Linked DNA regions of Caenorhabditis elegans. The protein of the gene in region 1 purifies or fractionates together with the protein of each later gene. This does not show direct contact. Each region holds a gene or a part of one and is shown in the gene's direction. Other genes may lie near its edges. The genes, in order: cht-3 and C01G10.7.

Region 1 (8,209 bases):
AAGTGTAGAATGCAATAAAGCTTTAAATTCGAAAAAATCCGAACAGTCAAAGATGATTTTCACGATACTATCTTTTTTTAGAGATACTTCCGGATCGGTTATGTGTATTCAAAATTAAGTATACAAAGTTGCTCACTTGTTTTCGAATTTGCGTCGAATAAAATTGAAAAAAGAGCTGGCTCGAAAAGTTGGCTGGGGGATCATGGAGCCTTATTACTGTACTCTGGTTGACGTAGTTGGCTCACGGAGCTGGCTCTGGTTCATGGAGCCTTGTTACTTCCGACTGACAGCAGAGAATCCAGTCTTTGGGAGCAAATCCCCTTATGCCATTACTTATTCGTGACTAGGAATTTTTCTAGGTTTTTTCTAATTGTAGCAGTATCATAGAATGTTGAAATAGGAAACGAAAAAACTTTTTTAAAAACGAAACAACTTTGTATTTTTATTCGTAATTGAAGATTTGTTGAAACAGGCAAAAATAAGTGAAATTTGACAAAGCAAAGTTGAGCAAAAAAGTGCAAGAAAAAACAATATTGAAACAAACATTCATATTGTGAATTGATACTTGAAATTAACGGAAGAAAAATCATTGATTGTAAGGCAACATGTTTAACCTCAAAACCCATATTAGCCGTTTCTTCCCTCTATTCCTTACTCATTTATGTGAGAACTGCAGATGTTGCAAACTCGTCATAAATAACTCGTTTGGGTGATGACAGTAATGTCATGTCACATTAAGAAAAGAAATGAAATCATATGAGATATTGAGAAATACATGAAAATTTAGTTCTGCTGAAACGAAAAAGTGCTCATATTTATGAAAACACTCATTCAGATTTCCGAGAATTATGATAATATCACGGAAAGTTTTATTTTAAAAAATGCTCTGTGCCGCTTTTGTCGATACAACTTCTGAAATTTTCAAAACCACCGCGGTGCCTCCCAGTAGGACTTCAAAAATTTATCTACCCATCTTGAGATCAAAACTTTCGAATAATTTTTGGCGACTGTCTTTTATAAATCAGGTTAAACTCCCAATGGATCTTTTTGCTTTGTCGCCTTATTCAAAACAATATCCCAAATAAATGAAATATTGTAGGATTTGTGTGACAGTTAGAAAACTAACTTGTGAGGCGGCAAAAATGACGAATTATTTTCTGTCTAGGGACACTATCCCCACCCGAGAAAAAGTAAAAACGCCGGCGACAACTACAAGAAGGACGAGGACAAAAGTGTTTCTTGTCAGGAGAAAAGAAGGGAAAAGGGTTTGTCAACATACGGAATACTGAAATATTGGTCCCCAGGGAGATCAAAATTGAAAACGGAAGGTTAAGGGAAAAAGTGGGTGGTTATGAAACATTGAGATCTTATTGAAAACCGAGGGAGAGTTAGAAATGGTTTTGACAAAAAAGTGAAAGACAATTTCGTAACTGTAAAATTCCTTGATATCTTGTGGAAATGTACCTGTCAGGGGTGTGAGGTGATCAAATTTACCGTTGCACCCAAAATGGAGCAATTATTTCTAACCTTTGAAGGCTAAAATGTTTTAAAATTTCAAAACAAAGACAGTTTTTCTTCAACTGCAGGCTCGAAAAACCTTGAGAAGTTGGAAATATGTCAATTGATTTGGAATTTATTCTCTAATTCTGATTTAACGTGAAGTTTATGGATACCAAACTTTAAATTTAAAAAAACTACAAAACTTTCTACAAGCATCCGTATCTCTATTTAAAAATAAAACATTTTCTTACATCATGCAATTGTTTCCCAGAGAGCCAACAACCAGTCAAATCTCGGTTTCAGCGACGAAATTTCAAATCAATCACCTAAAAACCAATAACATGTGGTATGCGAGGCTTTTGGATCTTCCGCCCACTTTATCATTCCCGAATCGCTTTTTTTATCTGCAGGTCAGCTCTTTTTTCTGGTTGAATCTGGGCACGAAAAATCGTATATAAAAGAGATAGAATCAGCATGCTTCTGTCATTTTTCCTCAGAGTTTTTCACCTTCTTATTGTGTTTTTATAATCTTTCTTCTTTTTAGAGATGGGTATAAAAACCCTCATTTGGCTGTCAATACTTGTAGTAGGCATATACTGTGAGATAAGTGATGAAGATGCTCCTGTTCATTATTGTTTTGTCAATCCTCCACCGGTAAGCAGCCATAAATGTTATCAAACAAGCAATGTCAATCAGAGTTTCAATTAAAAAATATTTTTTACTAAATATTGGTTTAATAGTTTTGATAATTGTAAAAGGCTCCAAATTGCAGAAAACTCGTCTCTCCCCAAATCTTCTTCAAAACATCACAACGTGCACCCATTTAGTGTATGGAAGTATTCCAATTGATCGAGACACTGGATATCCACAGTACAGTGTATCCGATGTTGAGTCTGGATATGATATTGACAATATTCGAACTTTCATGAGATTGAGAAAATATCATCCAAATGCCAAACTCTTGATGGGAGTTGTTAGAACAAAACCGTTTGAAGACGCGGCTACATCGGTGAAGGTTGCAAACGGGCTCCGATCTCATGTGAAGAGCAAGTGAGTTTGAGAATTTTGGGAAATTGGTCATCACAGCTTTATCAAAACTAAAATTTATTTTCCAGAAGATTCGATGGTTTATTTGTAACTTTCAACGGCATTCACCTTGAGTATCGAGCCTCAACGAGTTTTCTTGAAACGATTTCAAAAGACAAAAAGATGTCGTTAACATTTGGAGTCACAGGAAGAAGAGTTTTTGCATTTGATGCATTAAGACGACTTCAAGAAATCAATGATCTCGTTGAGTATATCTATTTGGATATGGGAGAATTGCCAGTAAGTATTTTCAGTTTAAAAAATGGTTGACTGGAGTTATTTTTAGTCAAACGAGGAACTTGCCAGAGTCACACACATAAATCCACTTTTCTATAATGGATCAATTCCGTTTGAGGAAACAATTCAAGGAACTGTCGAAGAGTAAGTCAAAATATATAGGTGAATTAGATCCAATACGGAATTTTCAAAGTCTGTCTTTTGAAAAATTCCAAATATCACAGTAAAACTTTTTCACTTTGATTTGTGTTTAAGTTATTGTCAAACATAGCCACTTCCTCATTTTTTGCAATTCATAATTTTGGAAAATGTTTTTTTTTTAATTTTACTGTTTCTTATGTTATTATTATCTTTTCATTTATTTTTTTTACCATCCGATGCTTTCAAAATGTTGAAAGAAAGTTACAAAATTCTGCAAAAAATTTTCAAAAAATGTTTAAAATTCTAAAACATTTTTAATAACGAAGGTTTTTACTCGTTTTGTGTATAAAACACCTATTGTCGTAACAATAAAAATTTAAGGTTGTCAAAAGAAGGAATTCTCCCTTCACGTATCGTAGTTGGACTGACTGCTGGAGGATGGAAATTTGAAATCAAAGAGACTCAAGATCCATTAAAAATCTCTCATGGACAATATGCTGAGAATAATGGAAAACGAGTTTCTTATCAAGATGCTTGTAGAGCTAGAGGAGCTGTCATTTATGATTGGCAGACTATGAATGAAATTACCGTGTACCGTCAGACGTGGATGAGTGTTAATCTACCAACAATTAAGGCTATGGGAGAAAAGGTCGTTGCAACTTATGCTTTAGCTCATGAAACCTATTGAATTCCAGATGAAATGGATATTGGGTCAAAAGTTTGCTGGAATTGGTATTAGCCACGCCCTCTTCGATGATCCACGTGGAGACTGTGGTACAGATCCGTTGCCAGCTCATCGTCTTGTCATGGAACTAATTCGTAATACTATTCCTGCGAATCCAGCCAAATGTACAAGACTCTGCTATTTGGATCCGGAGGAGGTTGAGGAAACATTCCCAATTGATAATCTGAAATCTGACTACTGTAGTCATATTGTTGTTCCATACTTCGCCCTTGATCTCTCCGACAAAATGATTGAAGAGGATAAAGCCGAAGATCTGGTGAAGAAAATTGATGATTGGAGAAGCAAAATAGTTGAAGTGGCACCGAGGGTAAGAACTCTTTGAAACCGTTTTCAGATTTCAAAGGAAAACTATTTCAGCTTATTCTTTCTGTCGGATCAAAACAAGCCTCAACAATATGGCAATTCCTCCTTGGAAACGATTTTCATAGAAAAGAACTTGCTGAAGGTCTTGTTAAAGCAATCAATTCAACAAACGCAGATGGGCTTGAGATTTCGTGGACTTCTCAACCAATGGTCAGCGATTTTGATAAGAAGAATTTGAAATCATTTATCAATGATATCGTCGCAGCGGACACAGCAAAGATGGTGGAGATCGTTGTGGCAACTTCACAACAGAGCGCTTATTCGGACTTTTATGATTATGAGCATTTGAACAAGTTGGTTTACTTTAATATAATATTTATTTTAATTCAAAAATTTTAGAACTGCATCACTAATTGTCCTTCACTCTCATCGTCTTCACTCGGATTCTCTTCCATTCACAGGACATCCTTCACCTCTTCGTGCCACTTCATCAATGACTAATCAAAAAATGAGTTGGGAATCGTTGCTCTCTCACTGGGTCGAAAAACGTGTACTCCCTTCAAAACTTGTATTGTCTCTGAGTGCATCCACTTTATCCATGCAATCACTTGCTGATGTGAGAAGCTCAGCTGCAACTCCATTTGGACAATCAGCTTTTGTGTCAATGTTGAGATCGAAAAAAGGAGATATTCATAGTCAGCAGGAGATCTGTGAAAGCCTGAAGTCTGGAACTGGTGTCACTCATTGGGTTGATGGAGCTGAAGTACCATATTTGAGGTAAGTAATATTTTGGGATTTATGGTGAACTGAGCCCTTTGAGAATTTTATTCTAAATTATTTCAAATAAACTTCCCCAGTGTACAAAGCGAAAAAGTTTAAGCCAATTTAATGACATGAGAAAAACTGGAAATTAGTTTCGTATTTCTATCTCAATTTAACAAAATAATATTTTTAAATTTATATTTAAGTATAAATACGGAAAATGATTTAGCAAGTCAATTTCCAGTGGTTCAAGTTACTACCAGGACCAAAATGTGAATTATCACAAAATGCAATAACTTCAGACGATACGATCAAATGGTAGCATATGAGAATACTCGTAGTGCTCACATCAAAGCAGTATGGGCATCAATGGAAGGTGTTGGAGGACTTGCTCTTCACAACATGCACCAGGACGATCCGAGTGCAGTTTGTGATAACCGTACTGCATTCCCCATTTTAAATGCTCTTTCTCGTGCTCAAGTTTGTCAGACTTGCCTGAAACAGCATGACTTCAAAAAGTGTGAACAACACGATTTCGTGGTTAGCTGCAATTTTGAATTGAAGAGGAGCACTCGTAAGCTTTTTTTTGGATTTTCTGATGTGTGAAATTTGAAACAGAAAATTTTATTTTTGAAAAATTTAATATTTTTCAGCTGTTTTCAAAACGGACATTGTCCCATACGAGCGTTGCACGGAAGTTGTCGTTGAGCAGGCAACACTCACTTTAGGTGGAAATGTGAATTTCAATGATGTTCAACAAGAACAAGTTGTTAAGAATTTGGTAAGTTTTCGCACCTGCCTTGTAGTCTATAATGAGTTTTAGACATCATTGAGGTCAAAAATGGTTAAATGTGGAATGGTGCTTTCACTATCATGCGGTGATTCTGAGAAATATTTGAATTCAATTCTTGGTGGTGAGTTTCATTTTACAATTTGTAAATTACAAATTAAGATCATGTTACCTGGAAGAAAAGCTCTTAAACATATTCCTGAAAGCTTTTTCAGTGCATACTTCCAATATTCGATTTTTTTTATTTTTTGCAAACCTATTACGACTTTGAGAGATTTTAAGGTGGCCGAGGATTCTGAAGTTTTTGAAAATGAAACAAAATCTGAAAAATCTTGATGCGGTTGGGTGTCTGAAAATCCAAAAGTTAACTCGTACATGATTTTTATTGAAAAGCATTTGATTTTTGTTAACTTCGAAATTAAGCCCATAACCAATTTTTCCATATTGTAGACAACATGACATTTGCAATTGGCAACGTGATGAATATTATGGAAAAGTACAAATTTTCTGGAGTACAATTGGATTGTGAAAAAGTGATTCGCAGAGGAAACCATGTAATTTATTAGGTTTAAGAATAAATTACCTATGAATCTATTCAGATTTACTTCAACACATTCGTCAAAAAATTGGCACAGAAGTTTGAAAGCGGCAAGGCTTCCAATGGGTGTAACAGGACACTTTCAGCAAGGCAACCTTTTCATAGAGGTTTTTAAAAAGCTATATATCCCATTATTTCAGATTTTCCCATTACACACAAAAGCCGTCAACGTACTACAGTGTATCTCTATTGAATCGTCTGTCTCACATTGCATTAAGAATGACTGATAAACATTCCGTTGATCTTCCATTCTTCTTCAATCACACAAAGCCTGAGTTCCCGTCAACTGAGAAATTTGTGAATATTTGGAAGAATGTGGGACTGAAACCGGATAAGCTAGTTTTGGAACTCTCGCCATTTGGTTGGCAGACTGGAAAGAAAGTGGGGGAGAAGAAGAAAATGACACAAGGAGTTAATTGTGTAACTGCTGGGAATAGAGCTGTCTACGAACATGATTATGAAACATTGACAGGAATGACCAAACATGAAAATGGAACTATCAACATGCCAATGATTGAAGATTTTAGATACAAAGTAAGTTTCTTTTTTGGCATTTATAGCTCCCGTGATGACTGATTTTGAGATCTGGCGAGACCCCACTTAAAAAAATAAAGTTTCACATTTTCACGAAAGTAGAATAAATTACTGTTTTGTTTAAAGGGGGACTAACGGTTCGGACGATTTTGAATAGACTCAACATGGGCTCAAAAGAACAAATTTCGTAATGAAACTTCTCAAAAAATAATATCAAAAATTTTTTGTGGCAGTTCAAAATTTGAAAAAGTTACACTGCTATTAGGTAAAATCTCGTTTTTACCCACTTTTCCATATCGCGGTCCGAAGTTGCCCTTTTTTTGAATTATTGTTCTTTATTGCATATTTTGGTAGTCTATATCATTTAATTTCGTTTATTACAGTACATTTGAAGCCGATAGGTAACCAATTTTGATGATTTTTGGTTACCTATCGGCTTTTAATGTGCCTTTACCGACAAAATTTAATAAGATAAACTTCCAAAATTTGGAATAATGGATGTACAATAATCAAAAATTTTCAAAAATTTTTTGTAAACTTTTTGAAACAGTAATTTTTTTCAAAATTTCTCAAAATGTGATTGTTTTTGAAAATCTGATAATTTTCCAACAATTTGACGGAAAAATTTGCTAATCGTAAGTCTAAAATCTTTTGAAAGGTTCCATTATGATATTCTGTCATGTTGTATTATTAAAAGTTTAACAAAAGCCACATTATATTATAGCTGAAATCTCTACAAATACAGTACATATAATAATTTTTCTAGAAATTCTGGAAATTCTATCAAATTTCTAGGATTTTTTATTCAAGTATTCAAATTTTCAGATTGGTTACATCCAACGTGAACAGCTCGGCGGTATTGCATTGAATGTAAATGGAGATGACTATACTGGAATCTGTGGGCGTGGATCATTCCCAATTCTGAAATCTGTTTATAGTTCCCATAAGTGTCGTTAATTTCTGAAACTTCACAATTTTGATAAATAATTATTTTATTTCGTTTGATATCGATAATGGATGAGTTCAACTCTCCCACACGACCAAATTTTTTTTTACGAAAAAAAAGGGAAAAAGCGGGGAAGGGGGAATTGGGACACCATTTACAAAATATGAATGGTTTTTGTTCAAAGTTCCCAGTGATAATAATGTAGACTTAGTTGGTGCTAGAGGAAGTTCATTTAACTTGGACAAATTAACAAATTTGTTGATTTTGACGGTGAATATTCTGTGATCGAGGAATTCCTTGAACCAGAAACAAGCTAGTCAAGACCGAACTTGGCAAGTTTTCCTAAGAGACTGTGTGAAACTTTGTTAAAGGCTTTAACAAAATCAAAAAATATAATATAAAGAGATTTTTCTTTCATTAGAAGTGAATGGTAGAGGGAAGCCATAACAAAATTATAATTTGTGAGAAAAAACCATTTTATTGTCGTGAACGTGCCCCCCTCCTTTTTTCCAAAATTTAAAATTCACACGTCGAGTAAATCAAAATACAAAAAATTACAAAAAAATT
Region 2 (3,519 bases), on another chromosome or scaffold:
AATCTGTTGAATTTATGAAAATATTATCACTAAATTTAGAACACAAACACAGATTGATATAAAATAAATAAATTGAGAAAGCGGTTTAGAAGATCGGAGAACATCAAAAACAGGAGATTTGCAATTTTTCATTTTTTCACATTCGCTGGCTGAATCCGAAAGTACGACCAATGCTTGAAAGGTAGTAACGATCGAGTCCTTGTTGAGTTTCTTCAGCGAGATGAGTTGGAACATCTTTAGCGATGATTTTGATATCCGTTCCAGATCCCTAGAATTTATTATAATAGAAGGTTTATCCTCGTTTGTTCTAAAACTTACAGTATCTTTCAACTGGAAATGGATGGTTGCATGATGATTGTTTGGATACTTTTTCAGTCGCCATTTCTTCACAATCTCCTTGTTCGGCTCAATCTTCTCGAATGTTCCAGTCACGTTTTCCCCGAACAATGCAAATGATCCTCCTTCCTTGAAATTCCACTCTCCGATCGAATTGTTTGTCCATCCACGAACGAATTGAGTCTCTGTGAGCGCCTCGAAAACTCTATCCGGTGTGGCCTTGTAGGTATCGGAAGTTGAAACCTCTTTGGTGGAGAACACTTCATTTCCAGAAGTGGAAGCGTCCTTTTCCGCGACAACAGTGTTTTGGAACTGACGTTTGTCAACGACTGAAGTCTTTCCAGTAGTAACGACTTGTGGCTTCACTTTATCAGTTGGCAGAATGAGACCCTTGCTGAATTCTTCCTTCAATTCACGGATATAGATTCCCATAACATCTTGAATCTTTGCAATGAACGATTTGTTAAGAACTTGGCGGATTTGATGAGCCATTGGGCCATTTCCACTCAATGACGAATTCACATCCACTTCGGATGCATCGTTCTCATCACTCAAGTTTGGGATATCGAAAGTTCCTTTATATTCGTCTTCACTGCCAGAAACACGAGCAATGAATGTTCCTTCGATAACCCATTCAAAAAGGAAGATGAGCTTAGCCTTCCGGTTGTTTGCCGTTGCTTCTCCGTCGATCTTTTTGATCTCATCGATTGTCACGACAATTGGGCCATCCTGAAAACGAATACTCTTAATACGATCTTGTTCAACTATTAATTATACCTCGGACGAAAATCCGGTGAGAAGTTCACGGAGTCGGTTCAAAGACCACGGGGTTGCATTCTTCTCCGACCTAAAACATACTTATTCAGCTCAAAGCTATGACTTCAATCGAGACCCACCAATGCCAATTGTTTACGTTTGTTGCATCGGCTCGTTCTTCAACAATCCAGCGTGGATCTCCTTCTCCCCACTTGGCCATTTAAATTCCCTGAAATTAATTTAAGTCAGTTTATCGAGATTTTTAAGGTGAACATCAAGCCAGATTAAGTCGTTTTGTACTTAAAACAATGGAATTTCAATTTAAAACTTGAAAATAAATATTTAACGTTGAAATCAAAACAAGAAATCTTTGAAATTTCGTTGAAAACAGGAGAAACTCAATTAATTTCGAGAAAATTCATGAAAAATGGAAGAAACTAGGCCAGCAGGCCACGACCGCTTATCAATAGGGCGAGCTTGCATTGCAATTTTTGTGTGGATTTACGCACGTAATTGGTTATTTATTTTTGTTTTTTTTTTTCAGATTTTACGTTACACATTTTTTTAAAATAAATTAATTTTTTCAATTTCAGAAAAATGCTTCCTAAAACGATAATTAGGCACATCTCACAGTTTGCCGGAGTTCGGGACGCAGCAAAGTATGTTCCAAGACGTGCACTTCTATACGTTCCAGCCAGCAATCAAAAAATGCTGGATAAAGTTCCAATGATGCAAGCGGATTCAGTAGTTTTGGAGCTAGAAGATGGCGTTGCTCTGACGGCTAAAGCTGATGCTAGAGTTCGAGTACGTGAAAAGTAATTGGAAATTTGTCTACAATTTGAGTTTTCAGGCTGCGGCGGCTCTTGATAAACTGCCATATCACACATTGGCATGCCAGGAGCTTGGTCTACGTGTCAATTCTGTAAGCAGTGGTCTTCTCGAAGATGATATCATTGTAAGATTTATTTTTGAATTTTTCAAACTTTATCCTCACGAATTTTTTAATTTCAGGCAGTATCGAAAGCTGAAAAGTTGCCACAAGCATTTATGATTCCGAAAGTAGACTGCCCTGAAGACCTTGTCACCATCTACAACATCTTCCGTGAACACTACGGAGATGAACGGATCACAAACACGAACACTCGGCTTGTTATCTGGATCGAATCTGCACGAGCTCTTCTGGATATGCCACGAATAGTCTCATCAACTCTAAATCTTCATAAACAAGCCGGATTCTTCAAGCTAGATGCAGTTGTCTTTGGATCAGACGATTTCTGTGCAGATATCGGAGCTACACGAAGCTCTCACGGCACTGAAACCCTATTCGCTCGACAGAAATTTGTGACTTGCTGTAAAGCATTCCAACTTCAAGCAATCGACAGTGTCTACATAGATATCAAGGATCTTGACGGTCTCCGTCGTCAGTCTGCAGAAGGGTGGCAGTGGGGTTTCACTGGAAAACAAGTCATTCATCCAAGTCAAGTGTCTGTGGTCCAGGAGCAATTTCTGCCTCCGAAGGATCGAATCGAATGGGCTCAGGAGCTGGTCCACGCTTACAGTGAGCACGAGGCATTAGGAAAAGGAGCTTTCCAGTTTAGAGGACAAATGATCGATCGACCACTTCTGCTGCAGGCATTGAATATTATTCAGCTCGTGGAGAGAGTTCAGAATTAAATTCTAAATTCTAAATGTTGTAAAACTTTTTATGTACATTTTTAAATATAGCTCTAGTTGCCAGTGTAATATAATAAAAACGAGTAATTTTAAAATTTCTTTATTTGTTCAAATTCAGACAAATCACTTCTTTCCATAAGTCAAGTAATAAGTAGTGTATCCATTGCTGTTGCTCGGGTAGTAGTAAGTGTATCCATTATTGTTACTGCAGCCGGAGCAACCATTATTGTATCCATTGTTATCGTAATAGTAATAAGTTTGACCATTATTGTTATTATTATTATTATTCGGGTAGTAGTAATAAGTCGTGTATCCGTTATTGTTATTGTTGTTGTAACCGTTGTTCGGGTAGTAATAGTAGAGCTGAAACAAAAAAATGGGAATCAGATAATCAATAGGAACTTACATAATAAGCGTTGGCAGTGGAGAAAAGCACGAGAAGAGTGGCGATCAGTGTAAGGAATCTCATTTTCTAGGAGAGATCAAAGCGAAGTTTATGTTTTCCCCTCTTTACTCGAATCTTTTATACACTTTTACCCTACTCAACATCAAGCTCCACCTCCGTGGCTCCCTTTTGATCTCTCTCTCTTTCAAGAGAAGGGCTAACAGTTTACCAACTCTCAAAAGACTACACATTCCTTTTAATCCTTAACTTTGCTCTTTTTCGGCTTCTTTTCGACCAGAGGAGAGAGGTAACAAGGAGACAATTGTTTGTCTTTTGAGTGCCCCCAATGGCATCCACTATCACTCCAC

Evidence for each region.
Region 2: the proteins of cht-3 (region 1) and C01G10.7 fractionate together in Caenorhabditis elegans (co-fractionation; one large-scale study listed by BioGRID). This does not show direct contact.

The regions. Positions count from the first base shown.
Region 1 is NC_003282.8:7,001,579-7,009,787, forward strand, and holds cht-3 (Chitinase-like protein C25A8.4), read left to right. Parts: upstream 1-2,044; 5' UTR 2,045-2,046; coding exon 2,047-2,154; intron 2,155-2,272; coding exon 2,273-2,550; intron 2,551-2,615; coding exon 2,616-2,826; intron 2,827-2,872; coding exon 2,873-2,967; intron 2,968-3,345; coding exon 3,346-3,613; intron 3,614-3,659; coding exon 3,660-4,016; intron 4,017-4,066; coding exon 4,067-4,365; intron 4,366-4,411; coding exon 4,412-4,789; intron 4,790-5,076; coding exon 5,077-5,348; intron 5,349-5,427; coding exon 5,428-5,555; intron 5,556-5,597; coding exon 5,598-5,688; intron 5,689-6,014; coding exon 6,015-6,118; intron 6,119-6,163; coding exon 6,164-6,252; intron 6,253-6,302; coding exon 6,303-6,696; intron 6,697-7,180; exon of another isoform or gene 7,181-7,201; intron 7,202-7,521; coding exon 7,522-7,653; 3' UTR 7,654-7,690; downstream 7,691-8,209. UniProt on the Caenorhabditis elegans protein: Putative chitinase.
Region 2 is NC_003283.11:15,084,062-15,087,580, forward strand, and holds C01G10.7 (Citramalyl-CoA lyase, mitochondrial), read left to right. Parts: upstream 1-1,685; 5' UTR 1,686-1,689; coding exon 1,690-1,896; intron 1,897-1,942; coding exon 1,943-2,047; intron 2,048-2,103; coding exon 2,104-2,766; 3' UTR 2,767-2,857; downstream 2,858-3,519. Other genes in the region: ahsa-1 (Activator of Hsp90 ATPase AHSA1-like N-terminal domain-containing protein), read right to left, coding at 137-268, 319-1,065, 1,114-1,183, 1,233-1,312; C01G10.15 (FIP (Fungus-Induced Protein) Related), read right to left, coding at 2,890-3,129, 3,173-3,235.